Diceros bicornis minor: one gene and its partner. The protein of the gene in region 1 purifies or fractionates together with the protein of each later gene. This does not show direct contact. Links are inferred from orthologs where the notes say so. Each region holds a gene or a part of one and is shown on either strand. Other genes may lie near its edges.

Evidence for each region. The genes of interacting proteins can lie anywhere in the genome.
Region 2: the proteins of GNA13 (region 1) and ARHGEF11 purify together in Homo sapiens (affinity purification with western blotting; 3 studies listed by BioGRID). This does not show direct contact. The link is inferred for Diceros bicornis minor from reciprocal best matches to the Homo sapiens genes GNA13 and ARHGEF11.

The regions. Positions count from the first base shown.
Region 1 is NC_080757.1:49,822,561-49,830,462, reverse strand, and holds the start of GNA13 (guanine nucleotide-binding protein subunit alpha-13), read right to left. Parts: upstream 3,039-7,902; 5' UTR 2,895-3,038; coding exon 2,612-2,894; intron 190-2,611; coding exon 1-189. UniProt on the Homo sapiens protein: Guanine nucleotide-binding proteins (G proteins) are involved as modulators or transducers in various transmembrane signaling systems.
Region 2 is NC_080743.1:60,525,688-60,533,284, forward strand, and holds the start of ARHGEF11 (rho guanine nucleotide exchange factor 11), read right to left. Parts: upstream 3,049-7,597; 5' UTR 1,671-3,048; coding exon 1,639-1,670; intron 1-1,638. UniProt on the Homo sapiens protein: May play a role in the regulation of RhoA GTPase by guanine nucleotide-binding alpha-12 (GNA12) and alpha-13 (GNA13). Acts as guanine nucleotide exchange factor (GEF) for RhoA GTPase and may act as GTPase-activating protein (GAP) for GNA12 and GNA13.

The sequences.
Region 1 (7,902 bases):
TGCCACTGTCGGCCCATAAGGCTCTTATAGCAGGAAGGTACTGTAGAAAAACCCGGGTTTCCACCATGCCCTGGGCCGCCATGGGGGACCGCGTGTCAAATGCCATCATCACATCTCCATTGAGCTGGTTTGAGTTATCTCCCCAAGGAATGTGAAGCTTCTCTCGAGCATCTACCAGCACCCTCATACCTTTGTTTAAAAAGAAAAAAAAAAGTGTGATAGGAGTCATTAGATATTCTCATAGATTCTATTCCAGTATTATTTTCTTAAACTTCTTAACTGCTCCAGGCCCACCACCTCCAAAATGGAGACCAACATCAAAACAAACACCATAACTTCTCAGAGCTTAAAAAAACTAACAGTTGTTCAGAGTCATAAAATTAGAGCCTTGAAAAGCAAATACTATTAACATAATTGTTCTTTCTGAAGACTTTTCACATTTCTAATTTATAAAATAACTTCTGGGGTAGAAGGTAGTCACAAGAGAACTAAAACTAGTGAAGGAAAAAGAAATTATACTGCATAGCCCGATGTCCAGGCTCTGGAGAAAACGGCTGCAACCAAGATTTTATGAGCCTCTCAAAGACATTTATTTATGAAACGCCAAGAACCAAACATTATCGCTGTGTTCTGTTTGTTCCCTGAGCACCCTGCTTATAAGCCAACACTGAGTCTTCTAGGATCACATTCAAAACTCAAACACTTCTCTCATACCAAGCTTCAAATCAGTGTAAGTCACAGGATGGCCTTCGATTTCCCTAAAAGGGAGGAAGATCAACTGCAAAAGAGAGAGAGATTTCCACTCACAGAGATTAGTTCAAACTCAATATTTCTATCACTAAACTGTTACCTTGGTCCATCTTAATAGTCACATGACTATTAAGTCATTTGTTTGGACAACTGAAAAATTGTTTTGCTGTCAATTTTCTCATCATGCCAACTCAAAAAAAGTAGATGTCTAGTGACTTCATCTCACAAACAATGCTCAAAGTAGGTCACACTTAGGACCTAGTGCACATTAAGAACCAGGTGTTTACCTGGCTCATAATCAGTTAACATGTTGACTCTATTCTTTGACATAATTCCATAAGATCAGCTGCATCAGGATACAAAGGTACCTTCAATTAAAGACTGGCAAGGCGGAGTCTTCGGCCTTGAAAGGGACCTTAGTTTTGTGCTCAACATTAAGATAGGATAAGCACAACTTTTCGCACAGCTTAACTGCAGCGATACTAGGGCTCAGAGCTAGCTGTGGTCTGTGAACTCCTGGCCCTGTGTTTTACTCCCCTCCATTACCCCCCAGTACTCCCCCCAGCCCAAGCAGTTTTCCTCTACCCAATCCTGGGAGAAAAAAAAGCCACACAAAGGAGTTGCTTAAGTACTTCCAGAATAAAAGAATCCCACTTAAAAAAACACTGCTTGAAAACACCCGAAATCTGTAGCAAACTCCTAAGTAATTGCTACCCAGATAAAATAAAAAGAATCCTGATGCACCTGAAGTACCAGGCTCTGCATCTCAATTTTGCGAAAATGCCTTTTATGCAGAAAACATCTGATACTAAGAAAAATGAGTTCTAATTACTGTTCAAATGACAAAATAAAAACCATCATCTCTAATTCTTTGAAAGCCCAGACATAAAATTCTTGTTAACTTTTCACTCAAGGACAAAGTTTACCTTTAATTTTAAAAATACTGTCAGAAGCAGAGCCTATGATTCAAGCCGACGATTCATTGACTCAACCTGTACAGGCTCCGCATCACTTTTAGGCCAAAGATTCTTCCTATCAAAGCACGACTTCATTTAAATAGTAGAAGCAAGTGGTGGGTACCCCCTCCCCTCCGCCCGCCCCCAGTTATTAAGCAAAAAGGAGAGTGGAACGTGTTGCATAGTGATTACAGGCAAACATCCTGCCCGACCGTGACACTGAGGCGAAAAACCACTGATGCTAATTTTTTCAGACGAACTGTATGGGTCTACCCTTTCCTGATGCCAGCACAGTAAACATGACACCCTCAAGTTTCACATCCTTGCCCAAAAATGCCCCAGGGCCTGTCACTCTTCGCCCTTGACAAGAGTCTCAGGCAAAAGTTTTCTTATCGCAACGGTTCCAGAAATCCCTTGCTCAGGAGGCGGCCAAGGAAGCGGGGAGTTGGGAGCAGACCCGACCCCATCTGACTCGGGTCACCCACCCGGGGCGGCGAGGTTGGGCAGGCAGCGCCCGAGCAGGGGGTGGGGGTGCAGGGGTTGGCTCTCGGGTCTTCCCGCCTCGTCTGGAGGGAAGAAGACAGGAGAGGTCGCCCCGGAGCCCGGGCACCGGGCTCGCCTCACTTCCCCCTCGGAGGGGGCGAGGCCAACGGCGGGGTGGGGGGTAAGGGGCTGGCCGTGACCCCCACTCCGACGGGAAGGGCGAAGCGAGGGGCCCCCCGACATCCTCTCCCTGGGGCGCGACGGCACCCCGGGCAGGCGGGACGGTGCCCTGGCCGCGCCCCCTTCCCGCCCGCTCGCCGGGCCCGCTCCTCCGCCAGGGACAGAGCGAACGAGGGCGGTGCCCGGCCCCGCGCCGGCCGCCCCCGGCCCCCGCCCTCGGCCCCCCGACCCCGGCCCGGCACCTTTGATCACGTTGCTGTAGATGGTGGGGCGGAACTCCTCGCGCGCACGCTGGTCGAAGTCCTGCCCGTGGATGATCCGCATCTGCTTCAGGAAGGTGGACTTGCCGCTCTCGCCCGCGCCCAGTAGCAGGATCTTCACCAGTCGCTTCACGTAGGTCTTCTCCCGGGACAGGCATTTGTCGATCTCCTTGGACTTGCGCTGCTGCTCGGCCTCGCCGCTCGTCAGCACGCAGCCGGGGAAGCACACGGACAGCACGGACCGCGACGGCAGGAAGTCCGCCATCTTGCCGCCGCCGCCGCCGCCTCGGCGGGCCCCTCCGGCTCCCTCCACCTCCTCCTCGGGCGGCGGGCGGCTCCGGCTCCGCGGCTCGAGGGCGGGGAGCGCTGCGGCGGCCCGAGCGCGCCGGGGGAGGGAGGGAACGAGCGACTGACTCGCAGGGCGGGCCGCGCAGGGCGGGCCAGGCGAGCGGGGAGGGAGGGTAAGAGGGCGGGCCCGGGAGGGGCGGTGGCCCCAGGGGCGTGCGCGCGCTCGCTGCCTCCCGGGGGCGCGCACGCACGCCGCGCCCGCTCTCCCGCCTCCCGCTCTGGGCCGGCGAGCCACGCTCTAGCTCGCGTGCCCGCGGCCGCCGGCGGGCTCGTGCGGGGGCGGTGGGCGGGGGGGGGGCCCCCGCTAGGAGCGGTCACGTGGTCTCCCGCCAGGTCGGGGGCGCTCTTAGTCTGCGGAGCTCGACTTTGTTTACCTTTAATGAGCTGCGCCCACTTAGGGGCAGAAAGGCTACTTCCCCGAGCTCTGGAGGCCGGAGACCGGATCCCGGACACTCCGTTTGGGCCTCCCAACCGCTCCCGCCGTTCTTACACCCGGGTTACGTGCCCGCCGCCGCTTGCTGTCACCGTTCGCGCGCCTTACTTCGAGGCCATTGGATCGAAAGTTATTCGAACAGTGGGCGCAAGCCTGGAAGACTTCTGATGCGTTTTCTTAAGGTGGCTCCCTTGACATCCTGCTCTCCCAAGCCCAGAATGATAACCAAACGTCGTCAATCTCCGCCCCAGCTCCCCCCGCCCCCAGCTCTTTTTGGCATTCTCAGACCTCTGCAAAGACCCTCCGTTGAGGAGAAATAACTCGAGTTGATGTTAATCTGAGATGGGCAAGGAGGGGTTGTTAATGTGGATCCCCGAGCTGCCGCGCTGAAATCAGTGGATGGTAGCTGGAGGAGGGTGAGGTCATGGTGAAAATCCCCCTGAACCGGACACTGTGATGCAGACTCTTCCCTACAAGGAAGCAGATAAGCAAACAGACCGAGGACGGGAGCAGGCAAATTTTAGGTTTCCTGCCAGATTACAGAGGATATGACCAGCCAAGGGACTTTTTTCTGTTCTAATAGCAGATTCAGGCCAGGACACCTGAAAGGGCTGCCAGGAGACAAGTGACAAGTGACAGCTGAGTTGGAAGAGAGACTGCTTAGCAAGGGCCCCGGAAGCCAACTTCTTCATTCTTAATATTTAGTTTCAAGGGGAAAAAGCCGTTTTGGTCCATGTCTGTTTTTGGCAGTGCAATCATAATACTTCTTGATTTGAGCTCCTGTAGCTCAGAAACTACCTATGTGTTAGGCAGTGGAGCTAAGAGATCAGCATTCTGAGGCTCATGAACAGGTTTAAATAAAAAAAATCAGTGCTCATCAGTGTACTGTCAGGGTTGGGTTAATGGTTGAGGAGACTCATGACTCAGTAAATTAGCTGCAGTAAACAATGCATGTAGTAAGATTATCTCCTGTTGTCCTGGCCAAGACCATAGGGTGGACCATGTACAACATACAGAGTAGGGTAGGTTCAACTTCAGTATCTATAGATTGATAGGGTCAGAATCATTGGGCAGTGCCTTCAAGCAAAATGTATGGTACAAGTCTACCCCGGATGGATGGAAGATCTCTCTCTAGTCTCAACTAGTGTTCAGGAGGCCCTGTTCTCCCATCATGAAAGGACGAATCTCTGCTCAGAACTGAGGTGTAGCATTGCCTCCGAAGCACCATTCCTACATGGACTCCTGGTGCTAATCTGAACTCTTCTGCAAAAAGAGAAGGAGCGAAGCCTGTAAGCTAGGTAGTTAACATCTTTTTTTTTCCACCCAAAGCGTGTGCAACATAATGGAGAACCAAGGATGCCTAGGAGGCAGGAAGATATTCCTGCCCAGCCAGTTCATGCTGTGACATGTAGAGCAGCAGAGAAAGCTGTTCAAAGCCCTGCCCGTAACCTTGTGTTGGAACAGCTTGGCTCGGATCAAGCCTAGCTGCTCTAATCAGCGTTTCTGAAAAAGAGACCTCTTTGGGCCCAGCCTGGGGTTTGGCTACAGTAGTACAAATGCTTCTAACTGTCTGGTAATCAGGCCACCTTGAAATTGTAAGCATAAAAATGAGTTAGAGGTTTGGTGGTTCCTCAGAAAGTTAAACATAGAATTGCCATATGACCCAGCAATTCCACTCCTGGGTATATATCAAAAATAATTGAAAACAGGTGTTCAAACAAAAAATTATATACCTCTGTTCATGACAGCACTATTCAGAATAGCCAGAAGGTGAGAACAACCCATATATGCATCAGTGGAGGAACAGATAAACATAATGTAGTATATCTATACAATGGAATTATTCAGCCCTAAGAAGAAATAAGTGCTGATACATGCTGCAACATGGATGCACGCTGAAAACATTATGCTAAGCAAAAGAAGCCATACATAAAAGGCAACATATTGTAAGGTTCCGTTTATATGAAATGTCAAGAATAGATAAATCCATAGGAACAACAGATTAATAATTGCCAGGGGTTAGGAGGAGAGAAGAATTGGGAGTGACTTCTTAACGGGTACAGGGTTTCTTTTTGGGGTGGTGAAGATGTTTAGGAACTAGATAGTGGTAGTGGTTGCAGAACATAAATGCCCCTGAACTGTACACTTTAAAATGGTCAAATGATGAATTTGATGTTATGTGAATTTTACCACAATAAAAAATGAGGTAGGGAAAATAATATTTTCCATAAAAGCAATGTCATTGACATCATTTAACATTGAAATACCCACAATGTGTAATATTCAATAAATGAAAGTACAATTGTGTTTATTTTGAAATAACATTAACAATTTAAATTATTTGCACCAGAAGCAAATCTACCCTAGCAGTTGCATTGTTACAGTGTAATGATATTAGTGATGTTTTAATTTTCAGATAGGTTGTTTCATAACTGAAAAAAAAATCCAAACTTTTTAAGAGAGTAGAGAGTCTATTGGATCTGCTGAGTGCTATATTTCCAGTAGACTCATTGTTAATTCATTGGAAACATCTGTATTGTTGCTAGCCAGTTAATCCATGTGCAAATGAGGGCTTCAGATGCCCCAAGGAGCTGTGATAAAATGATTGAATGGTTGATTTGTTCCTATGCTCTTTTCTTTCTGGAAACTCAAGATCTAATGGCAAACAGTCCTGCAAGATAAATAATGAATGTGTGACTAAAAATGTAGAAATGGACATTTCCAAATGGCCTTTCTCCTCTGATGTGGTCACCTTAGGAAGGAACAAGCCATTCCCAACAATACTGCCAATTCTTGAAATCTACTACTTTTAACTCTTCTGTTTGAACTGAAAGAAAGATCAGCTTCCTATCTTATAGTCATAGCTTTTTTTCAATTAAAAAAAATGGTGTTGCTTAGGTCACTTACTGTCTTCATGCGAAATAACTTTGGGCTGTTTACAGAAATCAGTATTAGCCACAAAAGACAAAAATTTGTCACCCTCAGACATATTCAAAAGAATGTGCCAGAGGCTCTAGGAATAATTCCAAAAGAGGAGTTAAAAAAATTTTTCTTTGAATCATGAGAAATATAATTTAAATAAGTATTTCACCTGCCAAGATGACTGCTCACTGCTCTGGATAGGACAACACCCATTTGGATATGTTTACTTAAAAATCAGTCACATTACTGATGTTATTAAACCTTGTGTTAATTTTCTAGTAAGAATGATGACACATCCAGCATTCTTGTTACACAACTCTGCTCTATCTCATCTTCATATAAAATAGATGGATTCTAATCCTTTCTCACAGATAAAACAGGCATGGATTTTTTTCTATCTTCCTTCCTTTCCATACTAGAAGAGAAAGGGAATTCCCTAGCCCTCCCGTAATACAAATCCCTTACGTTTGTGTAATGTTTTAAACGCCCCAAAGCACTTTGACCTACTTTATCTCATTCTCTGCTCACAGTAGCCTGACTAGGAACACCCATCATTAACCTCGCTTCCATCACACAGGAGGAAGCTGAGAGGAAGAAAAGTTTAACTCAGCTTGGCCAATTACAGAGCACCCTCTTTTGACTCTGAATCCAGTGCTCTTTCTGATTTGCCAAAATGGTGGTTAGGCCCCTAATGCCCACGTGTATGAAGTTCAAACTTAAGAAACAAGTAGCTAACTGTACTTAACTGTGAGTCACCATAGAGTCCAGTAGTTTTCTTTGTTTGTTTATTTGTTGATTGGTGGGTTGGTCTGTTTTTCCAGCCCCTTTTGGACTGACTGCCATCTCCAAGTTTACCAGCTCTTAGACTGATTCTGGTAAGATATTCTGTACTTTGAGCTCAGCCTCTGGTTTGTAAAATGTTCCAGGTGGCTGATGCAGAAATAAAAGAAGAGCCAAGCTTATGGCAATATTTACATGGTGTGTAAGCCCCAGACGTTTCCTTAATGTGAGTTAGATATGAAAAGGCACCTTTTTTGTAATGAAGTTTGATGGTGCCCTTACCAGAATAAGCCTCTCATGTGGAAAGTTTCTTATGAAACTAGACATGTGGAATTGCATTGTTGGTGGGTTTTTTGTTATTATTATTAATGGAAAACATGACTTTAATTGCTGGTTGTATTTTTCTCAGCCTCTGAGAAAGATCCATGAGCTGCCGTTGACCAGCTGTGACTTCACTCAGCTTATCCAAAGTCAGAAGCCTGTGCTATCTTAAAGACACACACCAGCACGCGTATATAAACTCTTACACCTTGCTGACTGCATCGGACTCGTTTATGGGCAATCTATTTATATAACACTAAACACAAGGCTTTGCCTGTAAATCTGAGATTCTTTCTGAGAAACTCAAAACATCCTGCTCAGTCTCTCTCCTTTATTTTCCCTTCCAGCTTTTAAAGATGAGAAATACTTTTTATGTTTTGTTGCCCGTAAATGGGCTGCCCCTTGCCAGAAACAGTAAGGGTTCTTTAACATAAGTTCTGTTTCTCCAGGGAAGTTTAAGTCTGCAGAG
Region 2 (7,597 bases), on another chromosome or scaffold:
TATACAAATCCTGAGAAGACGGTGAGGATATACAAACTCCCAGAGGAGCATCCCGCGTCAGCACAGGAACTCTCATTGCCTCCTTCTTGCACCCCCCAACACCTGGGTTTCCATCTTCTCACATCCCTGAATCCAGAGAAATAGTTCACCATTCAGATCTCAAAAAGCCATGTGCATTGATTCCCAAACTCCAAGACGATGAAAAGAAGAACAGCCGTGTAACCATTTCAATCCCTTGCCTTGACATGCCCCCAGTCTGCCTTCACAAGAGTCAAACTACAGAGAAGCCAACAAAAAGGGGAAGAGATGGAGGTTAGAACCAGCCACATATACTTTCTGCCCTTTGTGGCTGTCTGTCTTCTCCTCTCCACTACCAAGTCAGGTCCCCGTCTGGATACTGCTGAACTAATCCAAACAGGACTCTGAGGCAATACAGAGATTAGTGTTTGGGAGAGAGAGATTATATGCATTTTAGGCCACATTCCACAGCCAAAAAGAAATTATTATTAGCATGGATAAGCAAAGGTTAACTGGACATGAAGAAAGAATATTTGCTCCCTTGCAAATATTCTTCCCTCTCTCTCCAATAATATTTTTTCCAGGCCCAGTCCTTTCACTTGCTGGTTCAGTCTTCCATCCACCCATCTATCCAGTTCCGATGTGTGCAGCACCCACGGAACAACTGTCTCTCAAGATTCTCAAGGAGAAAGGGTTGAGGAGGGGGAAGGGAGGGAGGGAACAAGCAGACACCTTACGAAGTTGTAAACTGTAGCGTCACCAGTGATGGGGAGGCTGGGCAGACTCTTGTGGGGGAAGGGCATCCTGTGCTCAGACTCTAAGGGCCAGTGCCTCTGCCCATCAGGCCGAGGAGCACAAAACAACTCCTTCCGGTTCTAGGCAGAGGGAAGGCCCATTCTGCCGAGTCAAGCTTATGAAAAATGGCATGGAAGATTAAACCGAGAGCATCAGCCGGTTGGCAGGTCTCAATTTAAACTCTAAGCTTGGAGAGGAAGAAATTCTAATGTGACCTACGCATCTTGAGGCCATTATCAGCCACTGGTAAAAATCCAGACCCGTATGGGCGCAAAGGGTGTTTCTGTCCCATCATTCAGGCCAAGAACATCCTTCTCATTCTAGAAATGGGATCCACCCCATCACCAAGCCCCACCATTCCATAACAACCAGCCCAGTGGAGGCCCATGCCCCTGCCAAGGCCCTTCCCCCTGCAGCTCCAACACCTAAAGCCAGTCCCAATCCGCCCTTGGGGCTCACGTGACCAGGCTTGCGCCCGCCTCCCACCCCCTAGGCTGGCAAGTTAGGGACTCAAATTCAGCCTCTAGCCTGGCAAAAGTCAAAGGCAGCTGGAAGCATTTCTCCATCTTTCCCCACTCCTGGCTTCACTCTCTATTGCTTGTATTTAAAAAAACACTGAATCAGGAGAGATGTTTTGACCACCGACACAACACAGTGGGAACATAAACACACATGCCCAGGCAGTCCCTAGAGACCAATGCTCCTACCCCACCAATTCCCACAGCCCACTCAGACCCTTCTTTTGCAACCATTTATCAAAATTCAACACCCTCCCTCCCAGTCTTTCCTTAAGTAAGGGTTGAAAAACCACATTAGCAAACCTACCTGTCTATACTCTGGGGTAACCTTACACTCATGGTTTCTCGGTGTGTCCACAGTTCCAGAATCCTGTCGTTCTGATGTCTTGATCAGGATTGAATAGCTTGCAATTTTTAAGGTGAGAGGAGGGCCTCCCAACTTGAAAACTGAATCCTTTTTCTTCAGCTCTCAGGACCCTGGTAACTGAAGCTCCATTCTACTTCTACCAGTTAACATGGTCTCCTTTCTTGGCCCCCCCTTCCTCACCCCCCTCTTAAAAAAAAAAAAAAAACGAAAAAAAAAAAAAGGGGAAAAACTATGACCTTAGAAACCAAAAACCCAACCACAAATCTCTTCAAGGTTAGTGCTATGGGCTGAAAAAATGAATCACAGAAAGAATGTGCCTTCAAAATATCAGTCTTAACTGCAAAATACAGATAAAAACCATCCTTTTAATCCAGTTTTCCCAGCTGTCCTTCTGTTGGCAAGATAGCCTCAAGCTCCAAAGGGGGGAAAAATTCTCTGGTCTCCAATGCTTAAAACGACAACAGATATGTTTGAGGGAAGAAAAAAAAAAAAAAGGATGAATAAATCCGAATTGGCACTTGGAAAAAATCTTCCAGCTGATTTGCACAGTAAAAAAAATAAATAAATAAAACTATACAATAGTATGTACACAACAGCACTCCTTCCAAGTTCAGTGCAACCCTGGGAACCAAAATCACGGATTTCCTTTAAAAAAAAAAAAAAAGCTTTTACATTAAAGGTTTTGAAATTCTTAAACGAGCCAATCGCATGAGAAAAAAAAAAATTTGCACCTGAAATGCAATGCTGTCTACCTTTAAAATGGTAGCAATAACCACAAACCAGAGAAAATCTCTGAAAATATCCTCTCCTTTTCTTTTTCCTTTAAACTTGGCAGGTTTCTCCACCTACATCAGCCAGATTCTCAGCCCCAGCCTAGGTTCGGCCTTTTTCTGAAGGACAATTTCCTGAGTTAGTTCTGTTTTGCTCCTCCACATCCAGGCTCCGAAATTTTCTCTCGCCTCAGCCTCCATGAAACGGAGATTTCGCTTCCTGCCGTTCCCCCTTCTCTCCCTCTCGCCCGGCCAGCAAAACTGCTTCCCTATTATGAATAGTTTGGATTATTATTGTGGATTTGAGTTCGCGGTGGGATTTTCCTCCACACCAGCCTCCTGGAAAATCCGACCGCCGGGCTTCTCTCGGCCTCTTTTTCCTCCCTCTCCGCCCCTTGCCTCCTCTCGCCGGCAGGAGCCCCCCGCGCCTCGCGCAGCACCGCCGGCGGCCTCCGGCTCCCGGCCCCGCTCGCCCGCTCGCCCCACGCCCGACCGCCGCGCTCCGGCCTCCGCGGCCGCGGGACTCCGGGCTCGGGCGCACGCAGGGAAGGCGGCGGCGGCGGCAGGCCGGCACGGGCGGCCGTCCGGCTCCTGGCGTCGCGGCCGCGCTCGCCTCCTTCCGGGCCCCTTCCCCCTCACTCGCCGCTCGCTCGGGCGCAGGCCCGGCCGGCCGCCCCCTCCCCGCACCCTCCCTCCTTCCCCGCGAGCCTTTCTCCTTCCCTCGCTCCGACGGGGGCGGGGCCGCAGGCTCCTCCTCCGCGCGCCGCAGCCCGCCGGCCTTTCCCCTCACGCCGCGGCGGGGTGGGGGCGGGAAGCTGACCGCTGGGCCCTCCGTCGGGTCTGGCGGCCGCTACTCCCGCCGGCCCCGCTCCGGGCGTCCCTGCGCGCTCTGCCCCGCTGCGGCCCCTCGCCGCCGCTCCTCGGCCGGTCCCCTCCGTGGCCCCACAGTCGCCGGCCCGGCCCCTCGGCGCGGCCTAGCTGCTCCCGGGCTCAGCCGGATCCCCGGCTTGTCCCGGCCCGCCGGGCCGGCGACCCCGGCCTCACCGGGCGCCACCCCCGCCGTGGTCACCACCGCTGCCTCCTTCTCGCCGCTTTCTCTTAGCTGCTTTCCCCCTTTTTACTGTCCTGTGCTCAAGACCCGACCTTTGTTTCTTGCCTCCTTCCCACCCTCTTACGGTGCCCGGCGCCCCCGACCCCCTCCCCATGTTTATGGGTTTCTGTCTTGGCGTTCACCAGCATCACCCCTGCTCTCCCACCGCCACTGCTCACCCTGTCTCCGCCTCTTGTCTCATCTTATTTTTCAAAAATTTGTCGCAGCCTCCTTCCTGGGTGTCAGGAGCTCTTTTCGTCCCGGTTCTGTGGCCCTCCCCATTTCTAACACCCGCCAACAATCGGGGAAGAGACCCTTCACTCTTCCCCCTCTGGTTGGTTTGGGCATCTTAATACCAGGCTGTGTAAACTGGTTTTGAACTCGATGGAAAAGCCTTTCAAGGACAATTCTATTTTCATAACCCCCTCTCATAGAATCACAGTTACTAAATCTTTCCAAGTAACATGACATTAGTCAGAAGGTCCCAAGCGTTATGGTTAAAAATAATTAAGATGAAAAGGAAACTATTTCTTTAGGACTGGGGAGTGAACTTTATCTTCTTGCCTAGGTAAATGCTGTTGTGAAATACTCTGCAGGCAGTGGTGTGTTTGCATATGTTGTCTCCCTTCCACACCACCTTGATTGTTCTTGGGGGAAATGATATGTATATGTATATTTCCCCACGCACATCCATAAGCAGTGTAGAAGGAGCTGAGTGACCCCAGCAGTGTTAGCAGAAGTTGTGGGTTTGCAAACAGCAAGAGGGAAAAGAAACTAATAAGCATCACTTGAGAACTTACAATGAACCAGGAGCTTCCTCTAAATTACACCAGGTACAAGGTGGCACATAAAAGACAGACCTACTGCCTTCCCTGCCATCTCCAACCCCTAGGCCAGAGGGAAAGACAGGTGGTCTGCCAGGCATCTGAAGCACCACAGTCCAAATTGCTACTGTCTTTCTTGTTTAGTCCCTGCAAAATAGTTTATACTACCTGCAAAAATGATGCTTCCAAATGTGGACACTTCCTCTGTGCTGATAGACCAGTGGTCACCAAACATTTTTCTTGTCATGCTTTCTTAATATGTGTAATATTTTTAAAACAATTATTTACATGTATTTTATTACGTACCTTATAAAACATGCCCTAGAGTAGAAATATTAAAAGATGGAAATAAAGATGAAGTACATTTTTTAAATCATGCTTTTTAATGAAAGTTAATGACTATTATAACTGGAAAAGATGCTTATCAAAAAGGTAGATTCAAGCAGAAGAAGAGCATCCTCGATTGCATTTATTAAATTATGTTACTCATTTTCCAGTTCCATTAACCACGATGCAAAGACTTTTAATTGAAATTCCACTAGTAAATTTACATCTTAAATCAATCAGTCCTTGAATGATTGGAAGGTGTTGCATTTATATTTTTAACAAATGGGTTCAAACTCGCCAAGAAGCTTCATTTAGATTTTTAAAACAGATTTTCAAATTCTGTTTCCTAGTTTTTCAAGTATGCAGACAAAAGTTTTATAGGTGAAACACATTGTTTTTGGTAATTCAAAAAAAAATCACGATATTGGAAACATTTCCAGTCATGGATCTTCAAAATGCTTTCTCCATAAGGATGAGTTTCTTTAGAAAAACAATGACTCTCTCACTTAATGACTGTCATCTTCATCTTGAAGGAACAGATTAAGTGGATTGTTGTTGTTGTCATTGTGTGTTTTTGTTTTTGAAAATAAGGGCTAGATAGTATACTCTTTCTAGCCATTTCGCATCACAGAACATTGTCAAATAAAAATGTGTATCTCCTCTATGTTCAATACCTCTTTTTAGGCCTTTCCCGGAAGATAACCAATGAATCTCTGCAGAACAAAGATTTTCATGGTCATTCTCCTGTCTTTATTAAGAATTGTAAAGTTTGTAGCAATTAACAGGCTTATTTTCGTCCAGTGGATGGCATACATTATGAAGAAAATGAATGTCTGAACTGTGGATGGCATTACCACTGGTTCCTGGAAACATCTCACATACTGCCTGTGACAGATGACCCAGTGAGAGTGCTGGGTCAGCCCATATGTCAAAGATTAGTATTAATAAAGCTTAAATAATTATTTTTGCCATAGTTAAATAGTATTGTGAAGGCATTCTTAAATATTTTCCTCTTGCACACCAGTGAGTCTCTTTGTATGCTCCACTTTGAAGACTATGGGGATGGGGGTGGCTTTAGCAGGATAGAGTTCCCTAAAGTTAGCTGGCCATTTAAGCAAATTGCAAGTCTCAGTTTAGGACAAAAAATAGATTAGATTGCACCCAGGACAATCTAGGTGGTAGGAATCTGGAAGCAGCTATTGGTTAATGGAAAGAGCACTAGACTATGAGTTCAAAGAACTGAGTTTGTTTGGGCTGTATCACTTTCTAGCTTTGTGACCTACTGTTTGCAGATTGTAAGCATTAAATGAGATCGAGCATGGGCTCTATAAACTGTAGAGTGCTGGGCAGGGAAATCAGGATAAATGTTAAGAAGTAATATCTTGAATCGACATAATCCTTTTAACTTTCCCCACAAAACTTAATAAATGAATCCTTTCCTCTGTCCACCATCCTGTGGGATAGAGAGGGCATAAGTTATGTTAAATTCATTTACACTGGAGGAAACTATGGCACAGAGAGGTTTTAGGTGATTTGCATGAAATCCCATTAATTGATAGATTGAAGCTAGAATTCACACATCCTCATTTTTAAGTGTGAGAAGCAAAGGAAAAAGCAGGTATGGTCAGCTTTGATTTGCTGAGAGTGATTCTAGAAACCTAATACTTAATTGAAGAGCCGAGGGAGAGTTGTGATGGAGAACCTTGGATGGCTCACAGTGTGAGTTCTAGAGAAACATTCGTGCACAGACATCCCCAGCCCAAACCAGATGTATCTTCTAGAGAGATGGACTCCATGCTTCAGTCATTCTCCTTCCAGGGTGCTGTTAGGGGACAGGCCTAGCAAAATAAAATCACCACTGGAGGGATAGTGCCACTATTTATTGGAGATCTTTTATCCCTCTTCAACCTTTGTCAGTTGGAAAGATGATGAGAGGCTTGCTTAATTAAGGTATTATTTAAGCCTAAGGGTGAGAAAATTTTATGGTTTATTTTTTGCTGATTTAGATTTCTCTAGAATGCTTCTGGGTAGCCAGAATAACCAATATTAAACCTCTGTTACAGACATCATTTCATTGTCACTCAGAGTATTCTGTTCATTCAACCTGTTGAGTTCCCAATAAAATTTTAGTATGAAGCAATAATAATACCAAAACATATATAATGCTTACTATGTAAATACTGTTCTAAACAAACTGCAAGTATTAACCATTAGATCCATTTTGAGGTAGTTATTATTATCCCCATTTTCAAGTGGGAAACAGGCCCAGAGAGGTAAAATAACTTGCTTAGGGTCACAGAGCTGGGAACCCAGGCAGTCTGTTCCCAGAGTCTGTGCTTAACTGTCAACTGTACTGCCTTATGTTATAGGCACCATGCCAGGCACTGGGGGCAAAGATAAAACAAAGGAACAATGCACAGGCAGAACCTTCTCAGAAAGACAGAAGAGGGGCAGGGCTTGTTGAGGAGAAATTAGGGAGAGTGGAGCTGGAAGGAGAGGTCAGCCATTTAACTCCTCAGCCCTCTAGACAGGTATTTTTCCCACGGTGCAGTGACCAGCAAATTTTACCTTAGTCTGTCAGTTCTTCATCTCCCGTCTCGGTGTTCCTTGAGATATCGCCCCCCGAAATTTGCCCCTCATCACTTTTGAGGATCTCAAGGCATTTAGTGGAGAAAAGGCTTCTCACCTTAACTCCCACTGAGAGGAGGTTCGCATTGTCTGTGGGGTCACCTCCCAGGTGTGCACTCCAGCCTCCCAAGCTTGGTACCTTCCTGTCTGTGGGTACCTTAGAAACCAACTCTTTCCCATCAACACCCCTAGTAGCTGAGACAAACTGAATAACAAAGAAGATGCCAAGATAAAGTGTAAAGGAAAATGTGTGAAAAAAA